Elephas maximus indicus: one gene and its partner. The protein of the gene in region 2 purifies or fractionates together with the protein of the main gene of each other region. This does not show direct contact. Links are inferred from orthologs where the notes say so. Each region holds a gene or a part of one and is shown on either strand. Other genes may lie near its edges.

Region 1 (10,866 bases), on a different chromosome or scaffold from region 2:
TGTGATGATGTGGCAGGACAGGGCAGTGTTTCCTTCTGTTGTACACAGGGTCGATATGGGTCAGAACCCACTCAATGGTACCTAACAACAACAATAAAGTTATTCCCTGGCCATGGGATTTTTGGAAAGTCACTATTTGTAGAAGATTGGTCAGGGATAGGTGCCAAAAAAAAAAAAGTTTTGTATACGAAAAGGAGATCTGGCAGATTGGAAAATTATGAGTGCTGATGTAAAATTCAAAGAATAATGAAATGTTTTATTTACAGAAAATACTAAGTACAGTGATCTGCAAACATTGGTTCACTTAAAAGAAGCATGACACACTGGAAAAAGATAGACTCTGTCATGAGGAAAAACTGGTATCTCAATCCTGGCTCTTCCTCTTATTTGCTGTTTTACTTTGTACTTTTTACTTAACCTCTCTGAGCTTCAATTCCTTCATATGTAAATGAAGTCTAATAAAGCCTACTTCAAAAGGTGATGTGAAGACTAAGTGAAAATATCTGTCAGAGGTAAGGTGCCTAACACTATGTCTACAGCTCTCTCTTATACGACCTTGGATAAGTCAGTTACTTTTCTAGGGTCTATATTTCTGTGGAATTCGGAGATCTGCCTGGTATCATATCATTTTAGATACAAACATAAATGCATCAATAAGACTGCTCACTTCAACAGTAGGTTCAGAGAGATAATGACCAGTTCATAATTTTAGCCTACTGTATGCTATTATGTTTTTGTATCTGAACTTGCAGGTCTCAGAGAGAAAAATCAGTTGAGTTTTCTAGGTGATAAAGAGCAGCCCGTTCTCCAGTGAATTAGATGGAACCTCACTTCAAGTTACATTTCAAATGGTGCATTGCACCTGCTCATTCATCAAACTGCCAAGGGCTTATTCACTGTTTTGCCTTTTTTTCCTTTAAAACTCACCTCTTTGCAGTGCCTTGAGTTGCTCAGCTTCACAATGACAGTAACTTACATTAAGTGTTGCTTAAATAAAAGTATCTCATGTTATTAATGTATCATGTTATAAAACAACAAAACAAAACAAAAATACCCAAACCCATTGTTATCCAGTCAGTTCCAACTCATAGTTCCTATAGGGTAGACTAGAACTGCCCCACAGGGTTTCTGAGGAGTGGCTGGTGAATTTGAACTGCCAATCTTTTGGTTAGCAGCTGAGTTCTTCACGAATGCACCACCAAATGTGAGCTTTTGTTAGCCAAGTACACCACCAGTTTTCAAAGTGTACAGCATCCCTTTCAGCTCTGATCGATGTTATTTTACATTTGAATTGATTCTGCTATGCTATAAAAGACTATTATACAGAACCCACATAATTTTCTTTAGGGAGAGATTAGGATATTTACTCTTTATTTTGTGCAGTATAGGATAAGGGAACGTCAGCTTTAAATCTATGGAACTCCCTAAGCAGCTGTTGAATCTCTGCCCTCCGCCCACACTCAGCATAGAGCTATATCACTGGAAATCACTAAGCCTTCACTGAATGCAGCCTGGAAGATGGTAACACTGTTCAAGGACAGGGGAAGGAAACGGAAGGAAAAGGAAGTAAGTGGGAAAATACAGCAAACATGTGATTAACAGCTGTTCTCTTGAGTAAGCCTCCATCAGGGCTCTGCAGCTGTGTCACTGCGCTTCAATTCTGCTGATTGTACAGGGCTAAATTGGAAGACACATGGAGCAGGAAGATGTGTGGTGAAAGGTTAAAGGAAGTCCAAAATCCATGGCAACAGTATGAGGTGAATTTCCTTGCTCCATACACACTCTGTCTTGGTCTTTGCACAGTCCTCACACCCACCACCCACCCCAACCCCCATGGGAGGGGAAAGAGTCCTAAGAAACAAAGACTGCCCTTTACCAACTGGAAGTTTGGTCTGGGTTTCTGTTTTTTTTTTTTTTTTTGGTGGTGGTGGTGGTGGGGGACACAGAGGAACACCCAGCAACCCTGCATCTTCCATATTCATCTGTAGCAAAATCAATGTGCTGCATTCCTCCCAGAAGGCTTTTCAAAAACATTCAGACTACTTGTGCCTCCCCCAAATACAGAGGAGACACAGGTCTTGGGATGGTAAACTGAGTCTCCCAGAATGATAGATCTCAGGAGCATCCAAATGTGGCCCTGAAAGCCCACTTAAAGACTTCTAGTTGGCTTCCTAGTAAGTGGGTCGATTCCCAAAATATTACTGCTTGATATCACATCCTAGTTCCCAGAGGAACACAACAAAAGGGGCCAAGAGAAAGTGGGAGAAGAACATAATGACACTGTTCATTCCCCGTGTGCTCAAAAGAGTGTATTTTCTCTAAGAGTACCCCCTCAAGAAACCGAGATCCCTCTCCCTCCCCAAACCCAACGGGGTTGGCGCTCAACCTCCAAATGAGACCATCTTCTACTTCCACTTGGGAACACACAAACTATCTCACAGCAGCCCTTGTAACACACAGCCTGTTAAAACCGTTTAAAGAACGGAGCAGGTGACATAGAGCAGTTTGCAAGGTCAGGGCACTCCCTGGTGGGGGCGTCAAAGGGTGGGAGGTGCTGAGGTCAGGGTTAAACGACACTGCAAAAAGCAGTCTCCTGCCCATCTCCTTCCTTCATCTTTAGAAAGAGTCTCTAGTGAGCTCCTGCCTCTGGAAGGCTGCGCCTTTAGTGCTGCAGAGAGGCGGGGGACCGCATTTCAAAACCCCATCGCAAACACCCTACTTAAAAGAGCCAGGACCAGCCAGACTGATGAACAAAATTGCCCCAGATCGCTTGCTTCCTCTCTCTTCCTGCAGCCTCATTAGCGTTTTTCTTCTTTCCTCTACGCCCCCTTTCTCCTTTGGGGTGCAGCTCCTCTTGGAAGCCTGGAGCGCAGCCTGGGGTATATTCGTGTAGAGGTCGTAGCTTTTACCAGAAGCTGGAGTGGGAAGTCTTAACGTCCCGTCTCCTCCACTCCACCTGTCTGCCTGCCACACTGTGGCCCCTGGAAGGTAACCCCGGACCTTTGCGGCCAGGTGTGTGTCTCCTGCGCGGGGCCCGGCTCTCAGAGAGCCGGGCCGCCGGAAGGAAGCGGCTCCGGCAGCACTGCAGCCTGCGGCGGAGCGACAGGCGGGCTGCGGCAGCGGGATTGCAGCGGTGACCTCCCCGCGCCACCCGCCCGCAGGGCTCTGCCTGCCGCTCCCCCATTGTGTCTGCAGCGCTGCGGGGTGAGCCGCGCCGCCGCCGCACCCGCGCCAGCCTCTCAACCTCAGCGGGACGCGGGCGGGGGCCCGGCGCAAAGGAGGAGCAGCGAGAAGAGCCCCTAGAAGGGCACAGAGCTTCATCAATAATGCAGAGGCTCCTGGACCTCCCTGCAATACGTTTTCCAGCTAAACGCCACCAACTGGAGCGCTTTCTGGCACGTCCCACGCGTGTGGTTTTTGTGTGTGAAAGATGGGACGCAACGCGCTCATTCATCTTTCTCCTCTCTCCTTTCCTCCCTCAGACAAAGTCCCTTCTGGCATAGTTTCAAGCCCCCACCTTCTCGGGATCAGCACTGCGTTTTCCACGCAAAAAAGCTGCAGGTTGGAACGCAGGTCTTCAAAAACCTCCTTGCTTACCCAACACTAAGAGTTCAGCAAAAGTCACCCAGTAATGATCGTTTTAAAAGCCACCACTCTCATCCTCCTTGGAGAACGCTTTCAAAGTTTGGGAGCTCTGCTAGCCTTGGAGCCTGCTGGTTTCCGAGGCTCAGCTCACACCACCAACCACGGTGCGGTCAGAGACATCGAGATTGTGCTGCAAAGTTGCCCAGCCCCAACCCAGCAGGCTGCTGATGCTGGGAGCATTCCAAGAAGCAGTTTCCTTCTGTGCCTCCCCCTCCTTCCAAAATAATAATAATAATAATGATAATAATAATAATAATAAAACACTGCTGTGGAGCCCATTCCTACTCGTGGCTGTAGGGGAAGTGACCCATTTGGTTTCCAAGGAAAAAAAAAATTTTTTTTTTCTTTTTCTTATACACGGAAGCAGACAGCCACATCTGTCACATCTTTCACCCGCAGAGCTGCTGGTGGTTTCGAACCGCCGACCTTTCGATTAGCAGCCGAACACTTTAACCAGGAAGCCCAAATGCAACACAAAACCTCCTTAAACAAGGATTAAACCACTCACGCACCAGACCCAAATCCCGAAACTTCTTTGTTAAAGCAGGCTCAGCCCACCGGGAACAGACACTCTGCACAACTTGCAAGAAAATAAACAAACATCGCATCCCTGCAGGGAAACTTGTTGAATCTGGTCAGAGCGTAAAGCTGCAATTTCCCATTTAACCGGAAGGCTTTTGATTCTACCCTCCAAATATCCCCGTTGCACCAGGCACAATTCCTGGACAAACTGCGGTCTTTCCCGCACCCATTCTGCACTCCAGGACCCACTAACGTAAAACCGAGTGTGTCCCTTTCGACAATTCTAAAGCCGGCTATCACTTCGCTTACAGTCACTTGAGAGACTTACCTTTCGATTCAGACCGTTTTCAGGAACGTAGCGGCTCGGTGGTACCGGCGCAGCCTTCCAACTTTGCTGTGCACGGAAACCTTTCCGAGTTTAAGCCAAGCAAAAGCTGTCCGAGACTTTAAAACGTAAGAGGGGGCAATAGGAAGACAGCGAAGTCGGATTACTTCCCAGTATCAGCACCCTGGAAAAATCCAATCCTCCGGTAGAGAATTCTTTCAAACCCGTTATCTGTATTACTATTAATGCGCACAGCAGACGGCATTGCATACAAATAGGTCCAAGTGCGCGATTCTATTGGTGGCTGCGGAGGCCCCTGGGTCCTACCGCTCAGGCTCTGAACTACACAGCAACACTACGCACGCAGCGTTGGGGACGCGGAGGGGAAAATGGATTTAATTGATTCGTTACCTCTGGTATTGTAATGCCTGCTGCGATGTTTAACTTAACCGAGAGGGGGAAAAAAAAAACCCCTCATATTTAAACTCCTGCCATATGATCTATCATTTCATATCTGCTTGTAATTGTCTGTGTGGAGTGGCTTTGCAAATACAAAGGATTTTAAAAGCACACTTCTGAAGAAAATTCACACATACTTTTGGCAAAAAAAAACAAACAAACCTGTTTTTACTTTGTATTATAGACAAATACTTTTTCTCTTCTCTAAGTAAAATAGCTCTTAATTTTATTTTTTGCATGGCTACTCCAAATAGAACAACTTAATGAAATGACAGCAGCTAAAATATGAGTGTATAGATTGTAAAATACGGGCTGTGTTAATAAAATCCTACTAAAAATGCCATCAGTGACAATGGCATGGACGCCCATTTCTACTCTGCAAAATAAGAAATTCAGAAATATTTGTGAATATTGAGGTGTAAAAACAAATCATCAAATATACTGGCAATGTCTCATCAAATATACTGATAATGTCACAGTATGTCAAGTATTTCCTATTAATTGGCACATTTCCTTTTTACAGTTTCTCTCTTAGCAAGTCCATTACTAATGCAAATTGGCAGAAGGAGATTTAAAGTGAGGCAGGCTTGTGGTGACTGGCAATTTGAAATACTGGAACATGCAAAAAAAAAAAAGAAGCAACATTTCAGTACATCATTATTAAAGGTACCTATTTTAAAATTTTTTATTTTAAAAATTTATAATAATAACTGAATCTTAATAGATATGAATTTAAAGCCCTTAAGCATGCTGTTTCCCCAGACCTTTAATTTTCTGGAGGAAAAGAGAAGCCCTAGTGTAAACAGAAATGACGCAGACTGTACACCAAGTTCACCTAAGATATTTGTTGATATTAGAGCATAACTTTATTGTATACTATATATTACAGCATAATTGTATTGTATTTTAGATTAAGTCTTAATGGTAAATTCAAATTTAATTGCAAAATTACTATGCTGATAATTTACATCCGAACGCTGTTGGAAAGTGATACACTAAATAAGGTCAACAACAACCAACCCTGAAATTCGCCAGCCATGTGTACACTAAATAAATGAAATGCAAAATGCAAAAACACAAGAGAATTGAGATCTTATTTCAAATACATCTAGAGCATTTGAATTTATGTCGTGTGTGCTACGATCCTTCTTCATTTCCATAACTCCTTCCCTTTCCAACGCCTTCCAACCCCTTCCCTTCCCCCATCAGTAACCCTTGACAACAGAAGTGTTACTTCAAGTCCAGGTTGCCTTTGCTGCCTTCCAGACCTAACTTACAGATTGCATCTGGTGGGAAACAGAATTAACTCTTACACGACTGGAGTGTAAAAAAAGATTTTCTTCCAGGGATTGGAAAATCCAGCGTTCTCCTGTATATTTGCAAAGTTTCCACCAAACACATACTTTTGAAACATCCATGGTCACTAATTCAGAGTGAAAAGACATGATGATTTCGGATTACCATATGGATTTATTTGCTTCATTTCCCCATTGCCATTGTTTTTCCCGTAGAGGTTCTGGATTGACTTTTATTTAGTAGTATTACAATCTCTTCAGCCCAGGTTAAGAATTTTTCAATTAGCCAATAAAGTTAACATAAAAATATCAGTATATTGCTATATTGAGTGTAAGACAGTATATTTTCTGTGCAAGAAAAGAGAAATCATTTAATAGTTGGTTTTTTTTATAGTAAGTAAGTAAAGCGTAATGGTCATGCAAAGTTGAATGGAGATAATTCATATCCACTTAGAAGGAAAAAGAAGTATTCTCCTTATTGGTCTTTCAAATTTCTGTTACAAGTGGACTTGAAAAAATAATCATTAGGAGTCTAAGTGTAAGTTGAAAGTTGTGCATTTGATGAATATATTTTTGGAACTAAGAAAAGATATATTTTATCCAGGCAGATATATACAAAATTAACACAGTTTATCTATGACTATAATTTAATATGGAAGCTGAATAGATGGGCAAGTTGTGATAATGAACAAAAGAAAATAGTTAAACCGAAGCTGACTTACTAGCACAATTAACATATATTGCTAGATCAATTTTCACTTTCTGCTTAAAAGCAGGTTGTTAACTTACAGGGAACTGAACAGAATCTTAAATTTAATTTGTTTTTCTTTTTCTGAAAAAACATACTCTGTTTATATACTTGAATAAAATAGGTATGCCTATCCAATTTAGTCTCATATATTACCCAAAGACAAAATATGATTACAAATATTAAAAAATATTTTTTCTTGCTTCGTGAATACTAAGGCAAATATATTTTCAATAATAATATTGAAGCCACAATAATTTTCATGATTTCTAGGTCTGTAGGAATACCCTGGATCTATTCTTTCTTATTTGAAGTATTATTGGCCCTCTCATTTTGTCGGTGGAGTTTTCAAGGACAATATATGCTATGTCAGAAACTGATTTCCATTATGTCCTTGGATCATGATGACAGTGCCTTATTGTGGCTAATGTGAACATCTATAAAAGTTGGAAAGCAAAACATACCTGACACATTCTAGGATGCCATTACTGTAATCAGCTTACTTTCTAAATTTAGATAGGTAAACATGTAATAACGTACACTTTGGGGAAATTAAATAAACGCTAGTAACATCCAGCTACTCTCCAAACTATTTTAAAAATTCTCTTTAATAATGTTAAAATACTTATAAGTTAGGAAATCCTAAAGCTATAGGCATTAATCTATTAATCTGCTCACCTATGTTTGATTCTTGACAGATGAACAAGAAAATTAACAAACAAATTATTATATTTTTCAAAGTAGAAGTATAATACAAAGGATATGGCTAAACAGGCAATTTTTTTTTTCAGAGTTCCAAATTCAGTAAATCTGAAGTCAATGGCAGTATTTATGCTAATTTGTAATATTTATACCAATATTTGTATCAATTCAGAATCCAGTACATATAGTATATCAGTAGTAAGCAACAATATTTATACCAATCTTGCTAACTTGGAAGCTGTTAAATGAAGTGCTAAAATGCCCTCTGAATGGTTTAGGAATTTGCAAGAGATCATATTTAAGATTGTGGCTTAACAACCAATTTTGATGAATTGCTGAATCAAGTGAAGAAAGTACAACTCAAAAGTTAGAAATTAATCTGTATAAGATAATAAGTTTGAGGCAAAATATGGAATTTAAAGAAGATGAACTAAATTTGACACTATCTGGAAAAGATGTGAAATTCATGGTATGGTGACTTTAGTCAGATGATAATCGTGAATGGAATGCTCATAATATTTAAAATTCTAATTTAAAAAACAGCAAGAAAGGAGGTATGGAGGAGGATATTTTACTCTGTATCAAACAGGATTGTGAAGCAAGCAAGTTAAAAGTTGGCAATAAATATGAAGAAGTGGGATGCTTTGGCAAAAGATGAAAGAACAAACAACAACAAAAATGAGAAATGGAGAGGCATCTGTTATAACCCTTTGATATTAAGAAAAGCGTGAATCATCAATCTTTAATTCAAATACTAGGTTCTTAAGATTTTGACCTGTTCTCCTAAGAAGTTTTAGAATAAAGGACCCATATTCTTGTTTTTTTTTTTTTTTTAAAGTACATAAAAATGCTTATAAAATGTCAATTTTTGAATTAAAGCAAACAAATGCATATATATAAAACGAAGCCACCACTTTGTTGTATCAACAGATGGATGCAGCACTGGAAGTGCTTACTTGTCTATGTCAAAAAAATTAGGAAGACAGCTACCTGGCCAACTGACTGGAAGAAATCTATATTTATGCCTATTTCCAAGAAAAGTGATCTCTCTGAATGCAGAACTTATAGGGCAATATAATTAATATCACACACAAGTAAAATTTTGCTGAAGATCATTCAAAAGTGGCTGCAGCAGTGTATTGACAGGGAACTGCCAGAAATTCAAGCCAGATTCAGAAGTTTCCTGGGGAAACCGTGCATAGATCAAGAGGCAGTCGTTCGAAAAGAACAAGGGGATACTGCATGGTTTAGAGTCAGGAAAGGTGTGTGTCAAGATTGCATCCTTTCACCATACCTATTCAGTCTGTATACTGAACAAATAAACAGAGAAGCTAGACTATATGAAGAAGGAGGCATCAGGATTGAAGGAAGACCCACTAACAACCTGAGTTATGCAGATGACACAACCTCACTTGCTGAAAGTGAAGAGGACTTGAAGCACTTAATTGATGAAGATCAAAGACCACAGCCTTCAGTATGGATTATACCTCAACATAAAAAAAACAAAAACCCTCACAACTGGACCAATAAGCAACATCATGATAAATGGGGAAAGGATTGAAGTTGCCAAGAATTTCATTTTACTTGGATACACAATCAACACCCATGGAAGCAGCAATCAAGACATCAAAAAGATGCATTGCATTGGGCAAATCTGGTGCAGAAGACCTCTTTAAAGTGTTGAAAAGCAAAGATGTCACCTCGAAGACTAAGGTGGGCCTGACCCAAGCCATGGTGTTTTCAACTGCCTTCCATGTATGTGAAGCCCGGATGATGAATAAAGAAGACCAAAGAAGAATTGATGTCTTTCAATTGTGATGTTGGAGAAGAATATTGAATATACCCATGGACTGCCAAAAGAACGAACAAATCTGTCTCAGAAGAAATACAACCAGAATGCTCCTTAGACGCAAGGATGGCAAAACTATGCCTCACATTCTTTGGACATGTTGTCCGGAGGGATCATTCCCTGGAGAAGGACGTCATGCTTGGTAAAGTAGAGGGTCATCAAAAAAGAGGAAGACCCTCAATGAGATGGATTGACACAATGGGTACAACAATGGGCTTAAGCTTAACAAGGATTGTGAAGATGGTGCAGGACTGGGCAGTGTTTCGTTCTGTTGTACATAGGATCACTGTGAGTCGGAAGTGACTCAATGGCACCTAACAACAACGTGTCACCACTGCTGCTGCTTAATGGAGGTTACACATATGATCAATATGCTGTATGTTTGTTATACCAAAGTTAATGGTTGATCTAGTGGTTTGACCTTCCAACAAGACAACTGGTTAGACTAAGGAAAAGTTTGCTAACCAGTATCTAACATATTTAAAAGCATATTCAGTTTCTTTTAAGATATGCTTCTAAAAGAATAATAGCACAACAATTATTTTAAGTCACATTTTCTTTTAATATCATAGTTCTTAGGTAGCTAAATTCAATCAAAATGCAATGCTCTTTTGCTTTTGTCCTAGACCAACCTCTGCCTGTATAAAGCTAATACTTAAGAGTCACACATTCATTTAGTAAAGATTAAAATTTGTTTTATAGGACACTATGTTAGAAACATAAAATAGACTTTCCACAATAGTAATTAAGGGAAAATTATTTTTAATTAAAGAGAAGCCAAAAAAAAAAAAAAAAAAAGACCCCAGCTACAATAGCGTCATCCCCTTAGAAGAGAGGAATTGCAGAAAATAAATTTTAACATTGTTTAGTCTTAAAAAAAAAAAAAGCTTTGGTTTCCTATGCAGGGAGTTTAATAACTGCTTGTAAATAAGGTCTTGTGCACTATCTTTAGAGAGAAAGAATCAAATTTTAATGGTTTTTAGTCTGAATATCAGTACAGTACTCTGGCCAAACAAGTTCGTTTTCTTCTTATTGTTGTTGTTAGGTGCCCTTGAGTCAGTTACCACTCATAGTGACCTTATGTACAACAGAACGAAACACTGCCAGGTCTTGCGCCATCCTTACAATCATTGTTATCCTCACGTCCATTATTGTAGCCACTGGGTTAATCTATCTTGTTGAGAGTCTTCCTCTTTTTCACTGACCCTCTGCCTCCCAAGCAATGTCCTTCTCCAGGGACTGGTCCAAAGTAGATGAGATGAAGTCTTGCTGTCCTCGCTTCTAAGGAGCATTCTGGGTGTACTTCTTCCAAGACAGATTT
Region 2 (11,242 bases):
GTATTCCATTGTGTGAATATACCACAATTTATTTACCCATTCATCCGCTGATGGACACCTTGGTTGCTTCCAGCTTTTTGCTATTGTAAACAGAGCTGCAATAAACATGGGTGTACATATATCCATTTGTGTGAAGGCTCTTATTTCTCTAGGGTATATTCTGAGGAGTGGGATTTCTGGGTTGTATGGTAGTTCTATTTCTAACTGTTTAAGATAACGCCAAATAGATTTCCAAAGTGGTTGTACTATTTTACATTCCCACCAGCAGTGTATAAGAATTCCAATCTCTCCGCAGCCTCTCCAACATTTATGATTTTGTGTTTTTTGGATTAATGCCAGCCTTGTTGGAGTGAGATGGAATCTCATCGTAGTTTTAATTTGCATTTCTCTAATGACTAATGATCAAGAGCATTTTCTCATGTATCTGTTAGCTGCCTGAATATCTTCTTTAGTGAAGTGCGTGTTCATATCCTTTGCCCACTTCTTGATTGGGTTGTTTGCCTTTTTGTGGTTGAGTTTTGACAGAATCATATAGATTTTAGAGATCAGGCGCTGGTCGAAGATGTCATAGCTGAAAATTCTCTCCCAGTCTGTAGGTGGTCTTTTTACTCTTTTGGTGAAGTCTTTAGATGAGCATAGGTGTTTGATTTTTAGGAGCTCCCAGTTATCTGGTTTCTCTTCGTCATTTTTGGGAATGTTTTGTATTCTGTTTATGCCTTGTACTAGGGCTCCTAAGGTTGCCCCTATTTTTTCTTCCATGATCTTTATCGTTTTAGTCTTTATGTTTAGGTCTTTGATCCACTCGGAGTTAGTTTTTGTGCATGGTGTGAGGTATGGGTCCTGTTCCATTTTTTTGCAAATGGATATCCAGTTATGCCAGCACCATTTGTTAAAAAGACTATCTTTTCCCCAATTAACTGACCCTGGGCCTTTGTCAAATATCAGCTGCTGATATGTGGATGGATTTATATCTGGGTTCTCAATTCTGTTCCATTGGTCTGTGTCTGTTGTTGTACCAGTACCAGGCTGTTTTGACTACTGTGGCTGTATAATAGGTTCTGAAATCAGGTAGAGTGAGGCCTCCCACTTTCTTCTTCTTTTTCAGTAATGCTTTACTTATCCGAGGCTTCTTTCCCTTCCATATGAAGTTGGTGATTTGTTTCCCCATCACATTAAAAAATGACATTGGAATTTGGATTGGAAGTGCATTGTATGTATAGATGGCTTTTGGTAGAATAGACATTTTTACTATGTTAAGTCTTCCTATCCACGAGCAAGGTATGTTTTTCCACTTAAGTAGGTCCTTTTTAGTTTCTTGTAGTAGTACTTTGTAGTTTTCTTTGTATAGGTCTTTTACATCTTTGGTAAGATTTATTCCTAAGTATTTTATCTTCTTGGTGGCTACTGTGAATGGTATTGATTTGGTTATTTCCTCTTCGTTGTTCTTTTTGTTGATGTAGAGGAATCCAAGTGATTTCTGTATGTTTATCTTATAATCTGAGACTCTACCAAACTCTTCTATTAGTTTCAGTAGTTTTCTGGAGGATTCCTTAGGGTTTTCTGTGTATAAGATCATGTCATCTGCAAATAGAGATAATTTTACTTCCTCCTTGCCAATCCAGATGCCCTTTATTTCTTTGTCTAGCCTAATTGCTCTGGCTAGGACCTCTAGCACAATGTTGAATAAGAGCGGTGATAAAGTGCATCCTTGTCTGGTTCCCGTTCTCAAGGGAAATGCTTTCAGGCTCTCTCCATTTAGAGTGATGTTGGCTGTTGGCTTTGTATAGATGCCCTTTATTATGTTGAGGAATTTTCCTTCGATTCCTATTTTGGTGAGAGTTTTTATCATAATTGGGTGTTGGACTTTGTCAAATGCCTTTTCTGCATCAATTGATAAGATCAACCACATATAGACTTTTGAAAAGAGTTTAAAAACTCAAGAAGTAAAGCTGTTATTTATTCCTTTCTTTATTATAAATGACATTTCATAGTTATCACCAAAAATCTTTCACCATTTTATACACTTCGCCTTCTTGCAAGGAGTCCAGGGCCTGTTAAATGTTATAGTTCACACTGCTCCAAGATCTTAAATCTATCTGCATTCCATTTTATTTCAAAGGCTGCCTCACCAAAATTATTTCAGGATTTAAGAAAATTCTGATCCTTACACAGTCTCCAAAGGCTTTTGTCAGGGAGGGAAAGACTTTACTTCTTGGCATACCTAACTCAGATGACTGCCGTGAGAATGAAATACGATTATATGTGAAAGGTCATTGAAAATTCCAATGGTAATACATAAATATAAGAATCATCACCTCTTGAACTCTGAATTTCAGGTATTTAAAATGATCTAGTTACTACTATCTAAAGCCATTAAACTATGCTGTTATATAAAAAAAGATTTGCTTGTTGATAGGTTATAAAAAACTCCAATGACCACCAACTCTATCTGAAGCAAGGGAGAATTAAAAAAACAAAAGACACAAAGGAAAGACTAGTCCAAAGGACTAACGGGCAACAACTACCACAGCCTTCACCAGACTGAGTCCAGCACAACTAGATGGTGCTACGACTACCAACTGCTCTGACAGGGATCACAATAGAAGGTTTCCAACAAAAATACAGAAAAATGTAGAATAAAACTCTAATTCACAAAAAATGACCAGACTTACTGGTCTGACAGAGACTGGAGAAACCCCTGGACACCCTTTTAACTCAGTACTGAAGTCACTCCTGAGGCTCACCCTTCAGCCACAGATGAAACAGGCCTATATAACAAACAGTAACACATGCAGCTCAACCACATATATGAGACTAAATGGGCACACCAGCCCAGGGGAAATGACAAGAAGGCAAGAGAGGGCGGGAAAGCCATATGAATGAAAATGGAAAACCCGAGGCTGAGAAGAGGAAAGGGTTAACATGTCACGGGGTTGGCAACCAATGTCACAAAACAATATGTGTATTAATTGTTTAATGAGAAACTAACTTGCTCTGTAAACTTTTACCTAAAAAAAAGCACAATTAAAAAAAAATTCAATAACCAGAAAATTAGCAATAAATTACATAAAAAATAAGAAGCAATATACTATGCCTGTTGCAAGCAGCAGGAGGTCAAATATTTCATCCCTGTAGTATTTTTTGTACTGTCCTTTTTTTCAATCCTACCAAAGTAGATGAAATAACAGAAAGCTTCTAGGATAGTGTAACTACTGTTGTGTTGTTAGGTGCCATCGAGTCAGTTTTGACTCGATGTACAACAGAACAAAACACTGCCAGGTCCTGTACCATCCTCACAACCACTGCCCACTGTTGCAGCCACTATGTCAATCCATCTTGTTGAGTGCCTTCCTCATTTTTGCTGACCCTATACTTTACTAATCATGATGATCTTCTCCAGGACTGGTCCCTCCTGATAACATGTCCGAACTACATGAAATGAAGTCTCGCCATCCTCCCCTCTAAGGAGTACTCTGGCTGTACTTCTTCCAAGACAGATTTGTTTGTTCTGGCAGTGCATAGTATATTCAACATTCTTTGTGAACACCAGAATTCAGAGGCATCAATTCTTCAGTCTTTCTTATTCATTGTCCAGGGTTCACATGCAATATGTCAGTATTCCTCCAATCCTGATGTCATGTTCCTCTTCGTATAGTCCAGCTTCTCAGATTATTACTATAACCTTTTTCTTAAAATCAGTATTGTCGTTCAATAAGATTTCTACTATTATCCTTACGTGTATTAATAGGGTGAATTCACTGACGATATTTATATTAGCTTTAAATCAAATAGCCTATTACAACAATTTGGTCAGACTTTCCAGGTGATACAAGCGTTCTGTCTAAACCAGAAATAACTTGGACTGCCTCATCACTTTTCAAAACGGATTTTTCTTAAAGGAAAAATAATCTGATTAAACTACGGAACTGTAAAATCCCACGTATTTACTAAGCAAGAAACCGGGGGATCCTTGAGGTAAAATTCATTCTCAATTTAGAATCTATGTTCCTGCCAGGGTGTCCCCCACTGGCTCAATTTTCCAGGCGTAACAGCGATTATATGAGAATATAAACTCTAAAAATACTTAAGTTGAGTGCAAAACACCTAGAAGAATTTCGTCCAATAGCTCAACTTGCACCTTGTAAAATATACATATGAAGAATGTTTTAGAGTTAAGAAACATCTATGAGTAAAGGTTTGGGAAACCACGCACTATGGAAATTTGACCCAAACAAAAGCTGCAGATAAACAGACGGTAAGCGGTAACCTTTGAAACAGTATCAAATATCGGTGGAAGAAAAAATTCCAGGGACAATGACACCCTGGCTTTCCCGTTCATAACAATGAGTAACAGGGCCGCACCATACGGTACGGCGACCCCAACTGCGCCACAAAGCGAAACTGAACCAAGGAGCTGGCGCGCTGCGGGACTTTCAGGAGCCGGTGCCCACCAAGGGAGGCTGGCGACCCGGATACGGGAGACAGAGGAAGGGAGCGTAGCCCCTCTCCCGGGCTCGCCTCACCCCTCCCGCCTCATGCTTCACAGGGAAGCGTCCCCTCCAGATCCTTCCTCAAATCAACCGCGGGTTCGAGTCCTGCCCTGACCCCCGGAGTGGAGGCCACCGGCTCAACCCTGCTAGGCAGGGCACTGAGGAGCCCAGGCCTCCTTCCCGACCGCACCGCCCCGCCTCTCCGGACTAAGAATGAGAGGCCGCGGCACCAGCCGCAGCCTCCGGAGCAAGAACCTAGACCGGCCGCCGGTGGCTGGCGAGACGCCCTTCGGCCCCACGCCCCTCCCAGCACCGCCGCGCTCACCTCCACGGCCTTCCCCGCGGGCCCCGCCTGCGCAGTCAACAGTGGCCTGCGGCCGCTCCCCGACGAGCTCTTCTTTTCCTCTATAGCCTAGGAAAGGAGCGGCGTCACGTCCAGCGGGGCCTCCGCAGCCCTACCCGCGGGGTCCCCACCTCCCGAACCCTCCACTTCCCGCAGCAGCAGCCGCTCCTTCCGGTGCCTCCCGGTTCGCTGCAGGCGTCTCGGGCGCCGCGGGAGGGCGGGAAGGGGCGGAGCTTCTGGGAGAGCCCGACCCAGGGGCGGGGCTGCGGGCAACGAGCCGGGACCAGGTGCTGAGACTCAGGCCGCCTTTGCAGCTGGTACTTCAAAGGTAGCTTAGCTGCCTGTACAGGGAGCATGTACGTGCGAAGCAGTTTATGACTCTAGACATTTTTCGCTTTTACACGCTTTGGCTCCCTCTTCCGCAGTCACACTACAGCCGTTACAAGGCCTTGTTTCCGTGCATTGCACAAACCAGCATTAAGGGCCTCAGGTTTCCGACCTTATGCAAAGAAATATTAGATTTCAGTTAATTCAGTACTCTCCTCTCCTTTTTCTTAACCCAATTTCTTAGCACCTGGAATCTCTGGAGGCAATTGTGTTTCCCCCTTTTTACATCTGCAAAGAAGGAATTCATCTCTACCAGTTTCTTCTAAGCCAAAATAAAAAAGATCAAATATTTATTGAAACGCGAGTATTTGCCCAGTGCCTAGAGGATTAAGAGAGACTTGACTTCCAATTCATGTGATTGTTAGATTCATTCCATTGCTTGTTTAATAAATGATAACAAAAACAGTTAAATTAATAACAATTGTTAAACGTTACCAGTTCCAATCTGTCCTATCACCTCTAAATTTTTGGTCTCCAGTATGGGGATCATGTACTCAAATGTTGTTTCAGATGCTCAGTCTCCATCAGGAACAGGTAGGAAATAATGGAGCTTCTGATTAAATTTTTTTAGGATAAAAAGAGACAAAGGAATGATCATTAAAATAATTTCCTTCCTGGTGTCTTGTGGCAACAGGACACCCCCGATATATGCTGCAGCATCTCTTTCCACCATGCGTCTGTCAGTTTGTCTTCCTGTGGTGGCTTGCGTATTGCTGTGATGCTGTAAGCTATGCCACCACTATTTCATGTACCAGCAGGGCCACCCATGATGGACAGGTTTCAGCAGAGCTTACAAACTAAGACAGACTAAGAAGAAGGACCTGACAATTTACTTCTAAAAAACTGGCCACTGAAAATCTTATGAATAGCACCAAAACATTATAATGTGGGAAGATGAGCCCCTCAGGTTGGAAGGCACTCAAAAAAAAAAATATGACTGGGGAAGAGTTGCTGCCTCAGAATAGAGCTGACGTTAATAATGTGGATGCAGTAAAGCTTTCAGGGCCTTCACTCGCTGATGTAGCACCACTCAAAGTGAGAAAACACAGCTGCAAACGTCCACTAATAATCAGAACATGAATGTACGAAGTACGAATCTAGCAAAATTAGAAGTTCTACAAAAATGAAATGGAACACTTGAAAATAGATATCCTAGGCATTAGTGAGCTGAAGAAGACTGGTACTGGCCATTTTGAATCAGATAATCATATGGCCTACTATGCTGGGAATGACAAACTGAAGAGGAAGGGGGCTTCATGTTCATCATCAAAAAGAGCATTTCAAGATCTAACCTGAAGTACAACACTGGTAATACCCATACACCTACAAGGAAGACCAGTTAATACGACTATTGTTCAAATTTATGCACCAAACATGAATGCCAAAAGATGAAGAAATTGGAGATTTTTACCAACTTCCGCAGTCTGAAATTGATCCAACATACAATCAATATACAGTGATAATTACTGGCAATTGCAATGCAAAAGTTGGAAACGAAGAAGGAGGATCAGAAGTTGCAAAATATAGCCTTGGTGATAGAAATGACACTGAAGTTTGCATGAAAGAATTTTTCAAGACCAATGACCTGTTCTTTGGAAATACCTGTTTGAACCAACATAAGCAGCGACTATACGTATGGTCCTCACCAGATGGAATACATAGGAATCAAATCGACTACATTTGTGGGAAGAGACAAGGGAAAAGCTCAATATCGTCGGTAAGAGCAAGGCCAGGGGCCAACTCCAGAACATACCATCAATTGCTCATGTGCAAGTTCAAGTTGAAGCTGAAGAAAATTAAAACAAGTCCACAAGAGCCAAAGTATAACCTTGAATATATCCCACCTGAATTTAGAGACCATATCAAATATAGATTTGAGGCATTGAGCACTAATGACTTAAGACGAGATGAATTGTGGGATGACATGAAGGACATCATACATGAAGAAAGCAAAGGTCATTAAAAAGACAGGAAAGAAAGAAAAGACAAAAATGGATGTCAGAAGAGACTCTGAAACTTACTCTTGAATGTAGAGTAGCTAAAGAAAATGGAAGAAATAATGTACAGAGGATTTCAAAGGGCACCACAAGAAGACAAAGTAAAGTATTATAATGAAATGTGCAAAGACCTGGAGTTAGAAAACCAGAAGAGAGAAACACACTTGACATTTATGCAACTGAAAGAATGGAAGAAAAAATTCAGGCCTCAGTAGCAATATTGAAGGATTCTATGGACAAAATATTGAACGACACAGGAAGCATCAAAAGAAGATGGAAGGATCCCGCTTTGGTGAGTGGTGTCTTGGGTCTTTAACTGTAGCAAGTGGCCATCTAAGATACATCAATTGGTCTCAACTCATTTAGAGCAAAGGAGAACGAAGAACACCAAAGACATAAGGTAAAGATGAGCCCAAGAGACAGAAAGGGTCACATAAACCAGAGATTACATCAGCCTGAGACTGGAAGAACTAGATGGTACCTGGCTACCACTGATGACTGCCCTGACAGGGAACACAACAGAGAGCCCCTGAGGAAGCAGGAAAGCAGTGGGATGCAGACTCCAAATTCTCATGAAAAGACCAGACTTAATGGTCTGACTGAGACTAGAGGGAACCCGGAGGTAATGGCCTCCTGGACCCCTTGTTAGCCCAAGACCGGAACCATTCCCAAAGCCAACTCTTCAGACAGTGGACGATAAGACAGAAAATGATACTGGTGAGAAGTGAGCTTCTTGGCTCAAGTAGACACATGAGACTATGTGGGCAACTCTTGTCTGGAGGTGACAGGAGAAGGCATAGTGGGACAAAAGCTGGTTGAATGGACATGGGGAATACAGAGTAGAGAGGAGTGTGCTGTTTCATTACAGGGAGAGCAACTAGGAGTGCATAGCAAGGTATGCATGAGTTTTTGTATGAGAAACTGACTTGATTTGTAAACTTTCACTTAAAGCACAATAAATAAATTAGAAAAAAAGACGGAAGGAATACCCAGAGCCACTGTACCAGAAATAACTGGTTGAAATTCCACCATTTCAGAGGCAAGCATATGATCAAGAACCAATGATATTGAAGCGTTCTAATCTGCACTGAAGGCGTTGGCAAAAAACAAGGCACTCAATACCAATTGAGAAGTTCCAATGAACGAATGCAACACTGGAAGTACTCATTCATCTTTGTTAAGAAATTTGGAAGACAGCTACCTGGCCAACTGACTGGAAGAGATCCATATTTGCACCTGTCCCAAAGGAAGGTGACACAACAGAATGCGGAGATTACCGAATACTGTCATTACTATCACATGGAAGTAAAGTTTCTCTGAAGATCATTCAAAAGCAGTTACAGCAGTACCAAAACAGGGAACTGCCAGAAATTCACACCAGATTCAAAGAGGACGAGGAACCAGGCAAAGCATTGCTGATGTCAGATGAATCTGTGCTGAAACCAGAGAATACCAGAAAGATGTTTACTTGTATTTTGTTGACTATGCCAAAGCCTTCGACTGTATGGATCATAACAAATTATGGATAACATTGCAAAGAATGGGAATTTCAAAACACTTAATTGTGCTCATGGGGAACTTGCATATAGGCCAACAGAACAATGGGATACTGTGTGGTTTAAAATCAGGAAAGGTGTGAGTCAGGGTTGTATCGTTTTACCATACTTAATCTGCATGCTGAGAAGCTGGACTATACGAAAAAGAACACAGCATCAAGATTAGAGAAAGGTTTATTAACAGCCAGAGATATGTAGATGATACAATATTGCTTGCTGAAAGTAAAGAGAACTTGAAGCACTTACTGATGAAGATTAAAGACTATAGCCTTTAATATGGATTATACTTCTACATAATGAAAACAAAACTCCTCAGTACTGGACCAATAAGCAACATCATGATAAACGGTGAAAATATTGACGTGATCAAGAATTTTATTTTACTTAAATCCACAATCAACGCCCGTGGAAACAGCAGTCAAGAAATCAAATGACTTATTGCACTGGGCACATTTACTGTAAAAAAAATCTCTTTAAAGTGTTAAAAAGCAAAGATGTCACTGTAAGGACTAAGATGCACCTGACCCAAGCCATGGTATTTTCAGTTGCTTCATATGCGTGGGAAAGCTGTACAAGGAGTAAGGAAGACCAAAGAAGAATTGATGCGTTTGAATTATGGTGTTGGTGAAAAATGTTGAATATATAGGCAGTCCCTGAGTTAGGGACTTCTGACTTAAGGACAACTCGGACTTGCCCTTTAATGTAATGTAAATTTGCCCTCACTTTGAAAACCATTGAACCAGCCTCTGCTCACAACAAATTCTTCATCACAATCACCTTCGAGGCTGCATGTGCACCTTTTAAGTCACTGAAAACTCTGAAATTTTTCTTGGCATCAACCATTTGTCTTAATTATCTGGTGTTTCTATAACAGAAATATCATAAATAGGTGACTTTAACAAACAGAAAATTATTTTGTCACCATTTAAGAGGCTAGAAGTCCAAAGTCGGAGCGCCAGCTCTAGGGGAAGAATTTCTCTCTCTATTGGCCATGGAGAAGGTCCTCGTCTCTTCTGAGCGTCTATTCTGGGGCAATGTTCATGTGGCTTGGAATCTCTTTTCCTCCATTTATGCTTACTAGCTTGCATTTAATATCTTTTATATCTCGAAAGAGATTGACTCGAGGTTCACCCTACATTAATCCTTCCTCATTAACATACCGACCTCATTAACCTCGTTAACATACTGACGTGGGTTGACAAAGACAACCCATTCCCAAATGCGATTATAACCACGCTCATAAAAAAAAAAAAAAAAAAAGAGGTTAGGAATTGCAACACATATTTTGAGGAAACAGAGTTCAATCCACCCTTAAAAACTGAGAAGACCCTGCTTCCTGTGCTCCTTCTAACAGTTCTGCTGCTCTCCAACTGCTTCAGGGATGGTCCTTTCCTTTCTTGGAGGACAACAGACAGCTCCTTTGGCCTGTTTTCTTGCCTGTAGAATTCCAAGAAGCTGACAGCATTCTTTACTTTCATTCTTTCTCTGCCCACTTCAATCTAAGCTGATGGATTTTCTGCTGTGGTAGTTGGTTAGGTACACCTGTCACAGGCTTAATCTCTTTTATAGTTTTCCTTGGTGAACATTCTAGGACGTGTGTCCTTAGTTTGTACAACAGAATTCTCCAAATCTTTAAATTCTGTTTTCATTTTGCACAGTTCAGTTTTAAGTCTCTTTCCTTTCACACTTTACTATAAGAAGCAAGGACAACCCATGCGGTTCCTTTAAGACCTTGCTTAGAAATCTCCTTAACCAAATATCCAAGTTCATCACTTACAACTTCTACCTTCCTCCAAACATTTGAACATAATTCAGACAAATTCTTTGCCATTACATGAGAAGCATCACTCTTCTTCCGTTGTCCAATCCCATGTTCGTCATTTTCTTTTATAGACTCACCTGAAGCACGTTAACATCCACGTGTCTAGCAACATTCTGTTGCTGGTGCTATATGTATTCCGTAAGACAATGGGGGCTTTCTCTGCAACTCTCCTCAGTTCCTTCTGAGCTATCACTGGAATTGCTTTTGACGTCCGTAATTATACCAACAGACTCTTTAAAGCAATCTAGGCCTTTACTATTGTTGTTTAGGTGCTATCAAGTGAGTTCCAACTCATGGCGACCCTGTGTACAACAGAATGGAACACTGCAGCATCCTCATAATAGCTGTTAGGTTTGAACCCGTTGTTGCAGCCACTGTAGTCAATCCATCTCGTCCAGGGACTTCCTTTTTTTCCACTGACTCTCTGTCTTACCAAACATGATGTCCCTCTCCAAGGACTGGTCCCTCCTGATAATATGTTCAAAGTATGTGAGATCTCACTTCCAAGGAGTGCTCTGGGTGTATTTCTTCTGATACAGACTTGTTTGCTCTTCTGGCAGTCCATGGCATCATCCATATTCTTTACCAAGACCGTAATTCAAAAACATCAATTCTTCCGCGGTCTGTCATATTCATTGTCCAGCTTT

The links.
Region 1: the proteins of USP33 (region 2) and ROBO1 purify together in Homo sapiens (affinity purification with western blotting; 5 studies listed by BioGRID and IntAct, with this or other methods). This does not show direct contact. The link is inferred for Elephas maximus indicus from reciprocal best matches to the Homo sapiens genes USP33 and ROBO1.

The regions. Positions count from the first base shown.
Region 1 is NC_064836.1:51,769,238-51,780,103, forward strand, and holds the start of ROBO1 (roundabout homolog 1), read right to left. Parts: upstream 4,724-10,866; 5' UTR 4,496-4,723; intron 1-4,495. UniProt on the Homo sapiens protein: Receptor for SLIT1 and SLIT2 that mediates cellular responses to molecular guidance cues in cellular migration, including axonal navigation at the ventral midline of the neural tube and projection of axons to different regions during neuronal development.
Region 2 is NC_064821.1:125,660,018-125,671,259, forward strand, and holds the start of USP33 (ubiquitin carboxyl-terminal hydrolase 33), read right to left. Parts: upstream 5,039-11,242; 5' UTR 4,816-5,038; intron 1-4,815. UniProt on the Homo sapiens protein: Deubiquitinating enzyme involved in various processes such as centrosome duplication, cellular migration and beta-2 adrenergic receptor/ADRB2 recycling.